Nothobranchius furzeri: one gene and its partner. The protein of the gene in region 2 purifies or fractionates together with the protein of the main gene of each other region. This does not show direct contact. Links are inferred from orthologs where the notes say so. Each region holds a gene or a part of one and is shown on either strand. Other genes may lie near its edges.

Region 1 (4,367 bases), on a different chromosome or scaffold from region 2:
GATGGCGGCGATTCTCATCTGCTTTGACGAGGAGTACTTCCCCTTGATTGCCTGAAAAGATGCAAAAAGCAAAACGTTAAGGTGTGGTCCTGCAGGTCCCGTCCCATTCAGCTACTATACTGGACCTGTTCAGCAGCCTCTTCACCACCCGACTCGCAGCAGGTGGGTCGGAGCCGTGAAAGCCATGGCGGCCCTCAAGGCCCGGGGCTGGGCACACCTGGTTCAAGTGCTAAAAAGCTTACCACATGCTTGGTCAGCCCGTCCGTCACCTTGACAACGTTCTTGGCGATGTGCCCCATAACAGGAATCAAACTCTCTGCCGAGTAGTCCATGTAGTGCTGCAGCGTCACATCCTGAACAAAGACGTCACACCTCAACCTTCAGGTCATTTAGCCAGTTGGTGACCGAGTTAAGGAGCGGCGTACTTGGGACTGATGAGCTAACTGCTAGTCAAAGGTCAACATCCACTGAATGAATCTGACATTTATGCCTAAACTACATTAAGCAGATAGTGGTGGAAATAGTTATATTAAAGAGCAAGTCACCCCCTACCAGGGTATTACTCCGCTCACACTTCCTGTTTTAAAAAAATGCAACTAATGCTGTTACCTAGCAGACCGAGAGGGCCACACACACACGACATTGTGACATCTCATGGTACCAGCTAACATTCTAGGTAGCCAATAGCGGTGGCAGATTTAAATTCAAATGCAGCGCAGAGTTTTTACCCGACGACGGCACAACACTGACAGTTTTAGGCAGAAATTTTAACTAAAATGCACTAAAGTGCAAAACTGTTGACTACATGCGTCTGCAGCACGATTAGACACGCATTTATATAGTTTATCAGAAAAAACAGTTGATTTGGGGGTGACTTGCTCTTTAATGTTCGTTGCATCAGTCGGAGTAGCCATTAGCCTGTGATGAACCCATTTTAGTAACACAGGAGTATTTTAAAAATCGCATACAAACCCATTCGCCTGCTTCCAGGACCTTCAAGGTGAACGCCAGAGCAGCACTGGCCACCATAGAAGGAGGGAAATGAACCATCTCGTAGTCCATCATGGTGAGCTCCAGGACGTATTTGGCTAGAGTGTGCTGCTCCGCCGTTACCTGTGGACCAAAGGCAGAAGTCAGCAGACAAGTCACTGAAGATCAGCTGGACTTTAGCCTCGACACAAACCTCATAGATCTTTGAGGCCCTTCTGAGGAACTGCAGGGGAAGTGGTCGGCCAAGCTGAAACTTCAGCTCTCTCAGAATGGTCATCTCCATGTCCCGGATCTGAGCAGTGGTGTAGGCCCGGTCCGTCACATAGGCAAAGTCCGAGATCTCCGGAGGATACATTTCCTCATATTTGGAGGCAAGGAACATGGCGGTCACGCCCACTAGCTGCAGCTGCTTCTTGGGGACTGGATGGTCCTGTTGGAGACGCAGGAACGTGCACATTTAACACCTTTAATCTCTACACGTGGATACGTCTACCCACCGACGACGAGCGTGGGAATTACCTGAAGAAAGCGATCGATTATTCCAACGGTCATGTACATGGTCTCCTGCAGCAGACGGAACTTGAGGCTCACTTGCACCAGCCAGTCGATGAGGATGGCCCTCATATTCCCGGTAACCTCCTGACCCTGTAGGTAAGTGGGCCTGACGTTCTGCTCAACCTCCAGCTGACGGAGATACTTGTAGATGTCCTTCACATATTCACTGCAGAGCATGGGATTGTCATAGTCGTCCGCATCCACGTCCCTGACAGCGGTGTGGAGCAGGACGTCTGAAAACGCCTGGCAGAGATCAGCGGGTTTGCAGCTAGACGTCTCCATCGGAGTGGGCGAGGTGGGTTCAGGCGGCACCTGGAGCAGAGGAAGTTCAACACGTTTTACAGGTGCGTCAGCGCATGGATCGAATCAGGATTTAAACTAATCAGATGACTCACCTGAACTTCAGGCTCAGGGTCAGCAGCAATGACGACCGGAGGCTTGGGCTGTTCCACCTTTACCGCTTTAGGTACAACTTCAGGCTTCTTTGCAGCATCGATCTTGACATTCTAAATCCAAATATGGTCGTTGAAGCCCCCATGGAGAAATTAAATCACCTGGTGCTTCACTAGAGTTAAACTGAAGATTATACAGTCTTGACAAGTTTACGCAGGTACGCTAAACAGATCCGATTACCCACTTTAAAGTAAGCATCCCTAGTGAGGCAGCCAGGCTGCATCCAGGTGAGTCACCAAGGCTAGGGCGGGGCTTTAAGAAGGTGACATGTCCAATGCAAGAGTACCTTCTAGGTGGATGTGTGCATGAAAATGGCTTCTTCCAGGCACCGGGGCTCTGCAGCGCCCCCTACTTGAACGTGTTATTATGGGATTAAAAAAAACCTTTACCTGTCCACCACTTTATTTAAATAGCACGTTAACAGCAGCATGTCTGCTAGCATGTGCTCTACATGTTAGCAGCGCTTTAAAAGAAAATGACTTCATCACATCGAGTCTAAAGTAGACGCATGAAGTTCTCACGTGTGAATATTATTAATACCATAAAAACTCGAGTATTTAAAACTTCTCACCTTTTTCTGAACCTCTTTGTTCAGCGGGACGTTTCCGATCTCACCAAGCGCGCCTCGAGGCTTCTGCTTGGGCCCGTTCATGCAGGCCTTCCCTCCTCCGAGCTCGGTTCTGGTAGAACCGAGCCGAGTCTGCAGAGAAACAAAAGAGTCCTTTAGCCGCTGCTGCATGTCGTTCATCTATAAACACAAAATCCGCTTCAGGTTTGACTCTGAACTCTCAGCAGGACAGTGCCTGAACTGGTGAGGTACACCGAAGCACGGAAGCATTTTAAACGCTAATACTAATCATTCGACATGTTTCTAGGCGTGTTTACGCGGATAAAGAGCTGTAAGACCCGACTAAAGACTCACTCTGGTCACTCGAAGAGCCATTTTCAAGTCTGCGTGGTTCCGACAAGCAGTGAAAGAGTCGTAATGCCGAGCGAACGAGTTCAGCTAAAGACTCGCTGTCTTCGTTTAAATCCTCGTGCGCTGCAAGCTGATTCGCTGCGCTTTGACTTCTCCGAGCATCTGATTGGTCCATCAGGCAGGCAATGAATGCGTTTCCTAGACAACGTACGATCACGTGACATCCTCGTATTTCCTTTTCCTGTTGCGTCTTGCTATTTTCTCTGTTTTCTCCTGCTCGTTAGTCAGTGAAACCTCGATATAAATATAAATAACAGATCAGTATGTGTCAGTTTATAATTAGACCGCCATACACATTCATTAGCTTTTTATCAGCCTCTTAATTAGTTTATTCAGATTTGCTACTCACTTGTAGGTGTTTTTGAAACCACATGCTGTTTAAAAGTAAATGATTGTTCGGGGAGTGAAAACCAGTGCTTCCAGTTTGGCTCGTGCCTCTCATGTCTGAAATAAACCACAGCTGTTGATAAAATAGTAAAACTTGGGACTAAAAGATGCTTTCAAACAATGCACAAACATTTCGAAATACAAAATCACGATAAAATATTTTTGTTTTATGAGCAAACGTAAAAGTGAACATATGAATTTATTTTACTGAGAAAAATGTGTAGAATATTGCACACTTAATGGTTTAGAGAGTGTTTAGAAAATCGCAAAATAGACTTCTATGTGAAAATAGTAGAAACCTTGTAGCTTGCTCGTGTATTTGTGAACTTTTACAGAAATATGTACAGAAATGTCTGCGGACCCACATGGAGAGTCGTGATTAACGTTGGACGATGACAGGTGAGTTCCTGAGCCTGAATGTGCTGCACCATGGACGTCACTAGGATTGAGATATGGGGGGGCTTAGCCCCAGGAGCTTGACCTTGAACGTTTTTTGTCACACCCTGCAAAAACTTTGTCAATTAATTCATTATATGAAGAACATTTAACAAAACCTATTATTTCATCACTTTCTTTTCCTTTCCTACCTTTGTGCATTTTCTCTCTTCTTTTTATAAAAATAACACTTAATCAGTTAATTAGTGGGGTCTATGTTGAAGAAAGATTTTATGTAAGTCCATTAAAAATTAGATATGTTATATTTCCAAATAAAGCTATTCATTTCAGTCTACTGCACTTAACAGGGGGAAATGTTGTAGTCATTTATTTAATTTGTTGAATTACAACTTGTTTAATTATAACTGTTACTGAAATGTGACAATAAAGAACAAATGAATAATTGTCAAACTTTTATTCTGCCAAATGAGTGTGCAGTTGACAATTTTAATATATGAATAACACTGCTATGATATGGAATAAAGGAGTGTGTAATTAACTATTACAAGACAAAATAACAGTATATTAAGAGCCCACCCCATAATCGAAGGATTGCAGATTCTAGCCC
Region 2 (4,281 bases):
GTAAACCTTTCAAATACACCCCTTAGACAGTAGAGTTAGAATCGTCATAATCATTAAATAAATGGAGTCACCAGTCAGTTTGCTCCCTGAAGTCCTGAAAACAGACCACTTGGGCCATTTCACAGAGGTAGACAGCCCGTAGATGAGTGTGGGAACTCTCTGCGTGGCAGATGTCCAACAGGTCACACAAAGTGTTGTAGCGCTCTTGGGTCGTGTCTCTCGCCAACTCCTTATACGCACGCAACTCTTCTTCCAAAAGGCAAAGCATGAATTTCTCTTCAGGAACGTCAGGACCAAAACCATCCCGTAATGTCCTGTTTCAGGAAACGACGGATTTTAAGCAAAACACAAACAAAAACAAAGCCACTAAATAGTTCTTCTCTGTACCTGAGTCTTATGTCCTCATCATCATTACGGGCAGCATCACTTTTTGTTTTAACCCACAGAGAGACCGGTTCAGCCATGTGAGCCATCACCTGGTCTCCAAGGGCTTTCAGCCACAGGATCACCCACTTCAGGGCTCGATCCAGCGCTTCGGCTCGTCGCGAGGTTTGCACGGCCAGCATGAATGGTCGACTCAGCTGGGTGGTCACGATATAAATAATATTAGCTACAAACCATCAAAAAGCTCAGAAACACCAGTTTTAAACCAACCTAACAGAAACAAAACACCTTCAGCTGCAGGAACTAATTAGAAAACAACATTTCGATCAGGATAAGTATCAGTTGGATCGACTTACTCTATCAGCAGTAAGTGAGACAGGATGATTCTTGCATAAACTTCTGCAAAGGATTTCCACCAGAGAGAAGGCCTGCTCATACAGACGCCGGTTGTAAAGACCACAAGCCACGTTGCTCACAGCAGTCACTACGAGGCACAACAGTGTGTACAATAAATAAATACCTGCATTCAGTAATGATGAAGAAACATTTATGTTAGGATTCATTTCAGTCACCGGTTTTGTTCAAAAGGTTTTCATTGGGCGCCTTGTGAAGTTCTGTCATCAGTAGCCCAGCCGTGGACTGGCAGTAGAGGAGGACTCTGTCCAGCGTGTCCCTGTCCTCCAGCTAGGACCCAGAAACAATCAGCATCATTACTAAAATCCAAGTCTAAAATTCAACATTATGCTGCACCGGGGCCATGCTTAACTTACCATCATCATGAAAGTGTAAATGTGTTCTCACCTGTGATGCAAGCATGCTCTCATAAGCAAATAGGAATCCTTGGTAAATACTGACACAAAGGACCTGCTGCAGCCTGCTGCTCTCAGCCTGGCACATCAAACTCTGGGAAGAAAAAATATATATACATGCGAGGTTTTATTATTATTTTTTAGATAAAAACGTTTCACTGTCCAAAGTGTCCCACTAACCTTTTTTTGCATTTTCATTATCCATTCTTGATACTCCTCAAGGAATGAAAACAGCGCCAGAAGTTCTGGTCCACTTAATCCTTTACTGTGTCCACTTTCAACAGCCCATATCACTAGATTACCACCTTCAAGAGCTGCCTGACCCTCCCCTTTACCCAGGTCAGCTGAGAGAGACCTCAAAACCCTGGCACACTCCATCAAGACTCGGCTGCACTCTTTACCGGCCGTCAACGCTGAATGAATCTCTATTCCCCATGTGGCCAACACCAGAGGCATGCACTTTGAGCCAACACGGTCGAAAATCATCTTCTCAGTTTCATCCAAGAGGGTGGAGGCTAGACCGTGGTGGCTTGCCTTACAGAGGGCCTTCACAGCGAGCAGCGCCATCTCAGAAAACACATAAAAACTTGATGCTTCCATAGGCTGCCTGAAAGTACCCTGTTCACAATTCTGCACACTTGAAAAACATGTGTTAAAAAGTGTCTGCACTTCCTGGAGGAGAAAAGAAGCATCATCTGGTGTCACTGTCCCACATCCATCTTCAAACTCGGTGATGGCATCATATGTGTACATCAGAGCTTTAGAGGTGGGAACTGCCTTTTCTGTGTCCAACAACAGGAAGCTCAAAGCTTGAAACTGGCAATGAAGTTTGTCCTGTGGATTGAGTATTTTTTTGTCTTTGGAAGCAGACAGTCCAGTCCACAGAACAGAGAAGCAGCTTCGCACAAGAACATGGAAATCATCTTGAGCCTACAGATATTACAAACCACAGTTACTCTGACAAAGACCACACAGCAGGGATGTTGACATATGCGAGAACTGTTTGGTGATACATACCTGCTGTGCTGTGGAGAGCCTTTTATAAAGCAACCCTGCCACTTGGCTACAAAGAGTGTGAACCTCTAGAGAACTTAGCTTCTTCACAATATGGAAAATGATCTTTTCCATGTAAAACGGACTGGTCTGAGCCACGAGCTCTGCAGAAACATCATAACCACGAAGAGAAAGCTCCACCAGATTCACTAAGGCCTTGATGTGACCCAGGGGACAAGATCCAACTCCAAGGTGATGGTTACAGGCTCTGATAACCCTGTCACACAGCGTGCGTCCCTGGAGTCCAGGTTTACTCAGGATATGCGTCTGAGAAACGTAAAACAGACATATTCACGTCCTAATGCAAGAAAATACACGTAGATGTAAACAGTTTTTAAATTCCATGAATGCCAAACAAAGTACTGGCCCTTGGGCTGGTACGCATTTTTAAAAAGGACTAGAGTAGTGTTGCTAAAAACAAGCTAACCTCCAATTCCTGGTATAAAAGCTCCGTCTCTTTAACAGAAGCGGTCCGCTTGATGTATTCGTCCACTTTCAAACACTTCATGTTGACGTATGTAGCAGACACTGTAGAAAAAGTAGAGCAGGTTAAATGGGAGGCTAATCTTAGCGGAACGCCGACCAAATGCGCTGCTTTAGGCTAACAGTTAAACTTGCTAAAGCCATCAGCTGGAATTCTTATGAACCGTTAGGTTACTCACCCTACAACATGAAAACAAGACACTTGCTGTTCATACTAACTCCTTTAAAGCCAAGTACTGCCAAACATTAAAGATAAATCCGTGCACTATTACCCGAATGCAACGCGCGCGCTGTTTTTGAATGAAAAGTAACCAATCAGACCTGAGCCATTCAGGTTCCAAGGAGACGCAAAGGATTATGGGTGTCGGAGTTTTTAAGAATCCTGCGTTGGTCTGCTTCCGGTCTGGTCCCCAGAACAAAGCGGGCTTATGCCCTGCATGATCGCACATATGTTCTACTTTAAATGAAAGGCAAATATGTGTGTTTTGGCTATGTCTGTTATGCACTTTAACCCCCAGAGACCCACGGTTGTAATATTACAACATCAGATTTAAGTCTACAAAAATAAACCTTCCCCATTTTTTTTCTTTTTAAAACCACATTTACATTGCCAATAGGTCCTATTGTTCAGTTCTGCAACACTATTGGCTGTTAAAATGTGTAAATAGGCCCGTTTATCTGGCCTCCTGTAACAACATGTGAAAGGTTAAAAAAGATTTTGCAGTTGTTTTCTAAATTTGGGTCTCTGGGGGTTAAGGTTTATTAGCTTGTAAAATTTTGTATTACAACTACACTCTAGCAAGTGTGACATCACCACAGAATCTCTTCTCCCAGCATAGTTACTTATGGGGTGCCATTTGTAAAGTCAAACAGTCATAATCTAACAGCAATATTTTTGGTTATTTAGCATATTATAAGAAAAAAAATTGGGAGTTCACTTTTTCAAAGTCATATTTTCACCATGTTATTCATACATTTATAAATGTTAAAGTTTCCAAATAAATATTTAGTTAGCAAACTAAATATTTAATTTATAGTTAAATATTTATTTTGCAAACCAAATATTTAGGTCTAAGCTAAATATTTAGTTTGTAAAATAAATATTGAATTCACTAATTAAATATTTAATTTCCTAATTAAATATTTATTTTGGAACTAAATAATTAATTTGTAAATTAAATATTTGATTTGTAAATTAAATATTTATTTTCTGAAAAAAATATTTAGATCCCAGCTAAATATTTATTTTAGAGCAAAACATATACTTTGCAAAATCAGTATTTGGGAAGTAAATATTTAAGTCTGACCCAAAAATATAAAATATAGTGTGGAGCTAAATAACATCGTGGAAAATAAATATTTAGCTGGTACTTAAACATTTTGCTAATATGCAAATTTGCTTACCAATAAGCGGAAGTTGGTTACCAAAATAAAAGCTGGATCTCGCTAACCTCTTTATAAACTCTTGCTCCGAACCAGAACTTGTTTTATCTCCGGTTCTGTTCTTCTTCAGCCAACACGTCGGCCACGCCTATCTTCTTCCATTTAATGA

Evidence for each region.
Region 1: the proteins of espl1 (region 2) and ccnb1 purify together in Homo sapiens (affinity purification with western blotting; 5 studies listed by BioGRID and IntAct, with this or other methods). This does not show direct contact. The link is inferred for Nothobranchius furzeri from reciprocal best matches to the Homo sapiens genes ESPL1 and CCNB1.

Annotation. Positions count from the first base shown.
Region 1 is NC_091746.1:73,742,335-73,746,701, forward strand, and holds the start of ccnb1 (G2/mitotic-specific cyclin-B1), read right to left. Parts: upstream 3,054-4,367; 5' UTR 2,942-3,053; coding exon 2,921-2,941; intron 2,699-2,920; coding exon 2,570-2,698; intron 2,052-2,569; coding exon 1,941-2,051; intron 1,858-1,940; coding exon 1,510-1,857; intron 1,421-1,509; coding exon 1,184-1,420; intron 1,114-1,183; coding exon 973-1,113; intron 354-972; coding exon 243-353; intron 52-242; coding exon 1-51. UniProt on the Homo sapiens protein: Essential for the control of the cell cycle at the G2/M (mitosis) transition.
Region 2 is NC_091743.1:50,208,123-50,212,403, forward strand, and holds the start of espl1 (separin), read right to left. Parts: upstream 3,022-4,281; 5' UTR 2,909-3,021; intron 2,775-2,908; 5' UTR 2,755-2,774; coding exon 2,674-2,754; intron 2,514-2,673; coding exon 2,211-2,513; intron 2,124-2,210; coding exon 1,374-2,123; intron 1,288-1,373; coding exon 1,186-1,287; intron 1,069-1,185; coding exon 957-1,068; intron 869-956; coding exon 741-868; intron 582-740; coding exon 388-581; intron 315-387; coding exon 72-314; intron 1-71. UniProt on the Homo sapiens protein: Caspase-like protease, which plays a central role in the chromosome segregation by cleaving the SCC1/RAD21 subunit of the cohesin complex at the onset of anaphase. During most of the cell cycle, it is inactivated by different mechanisms.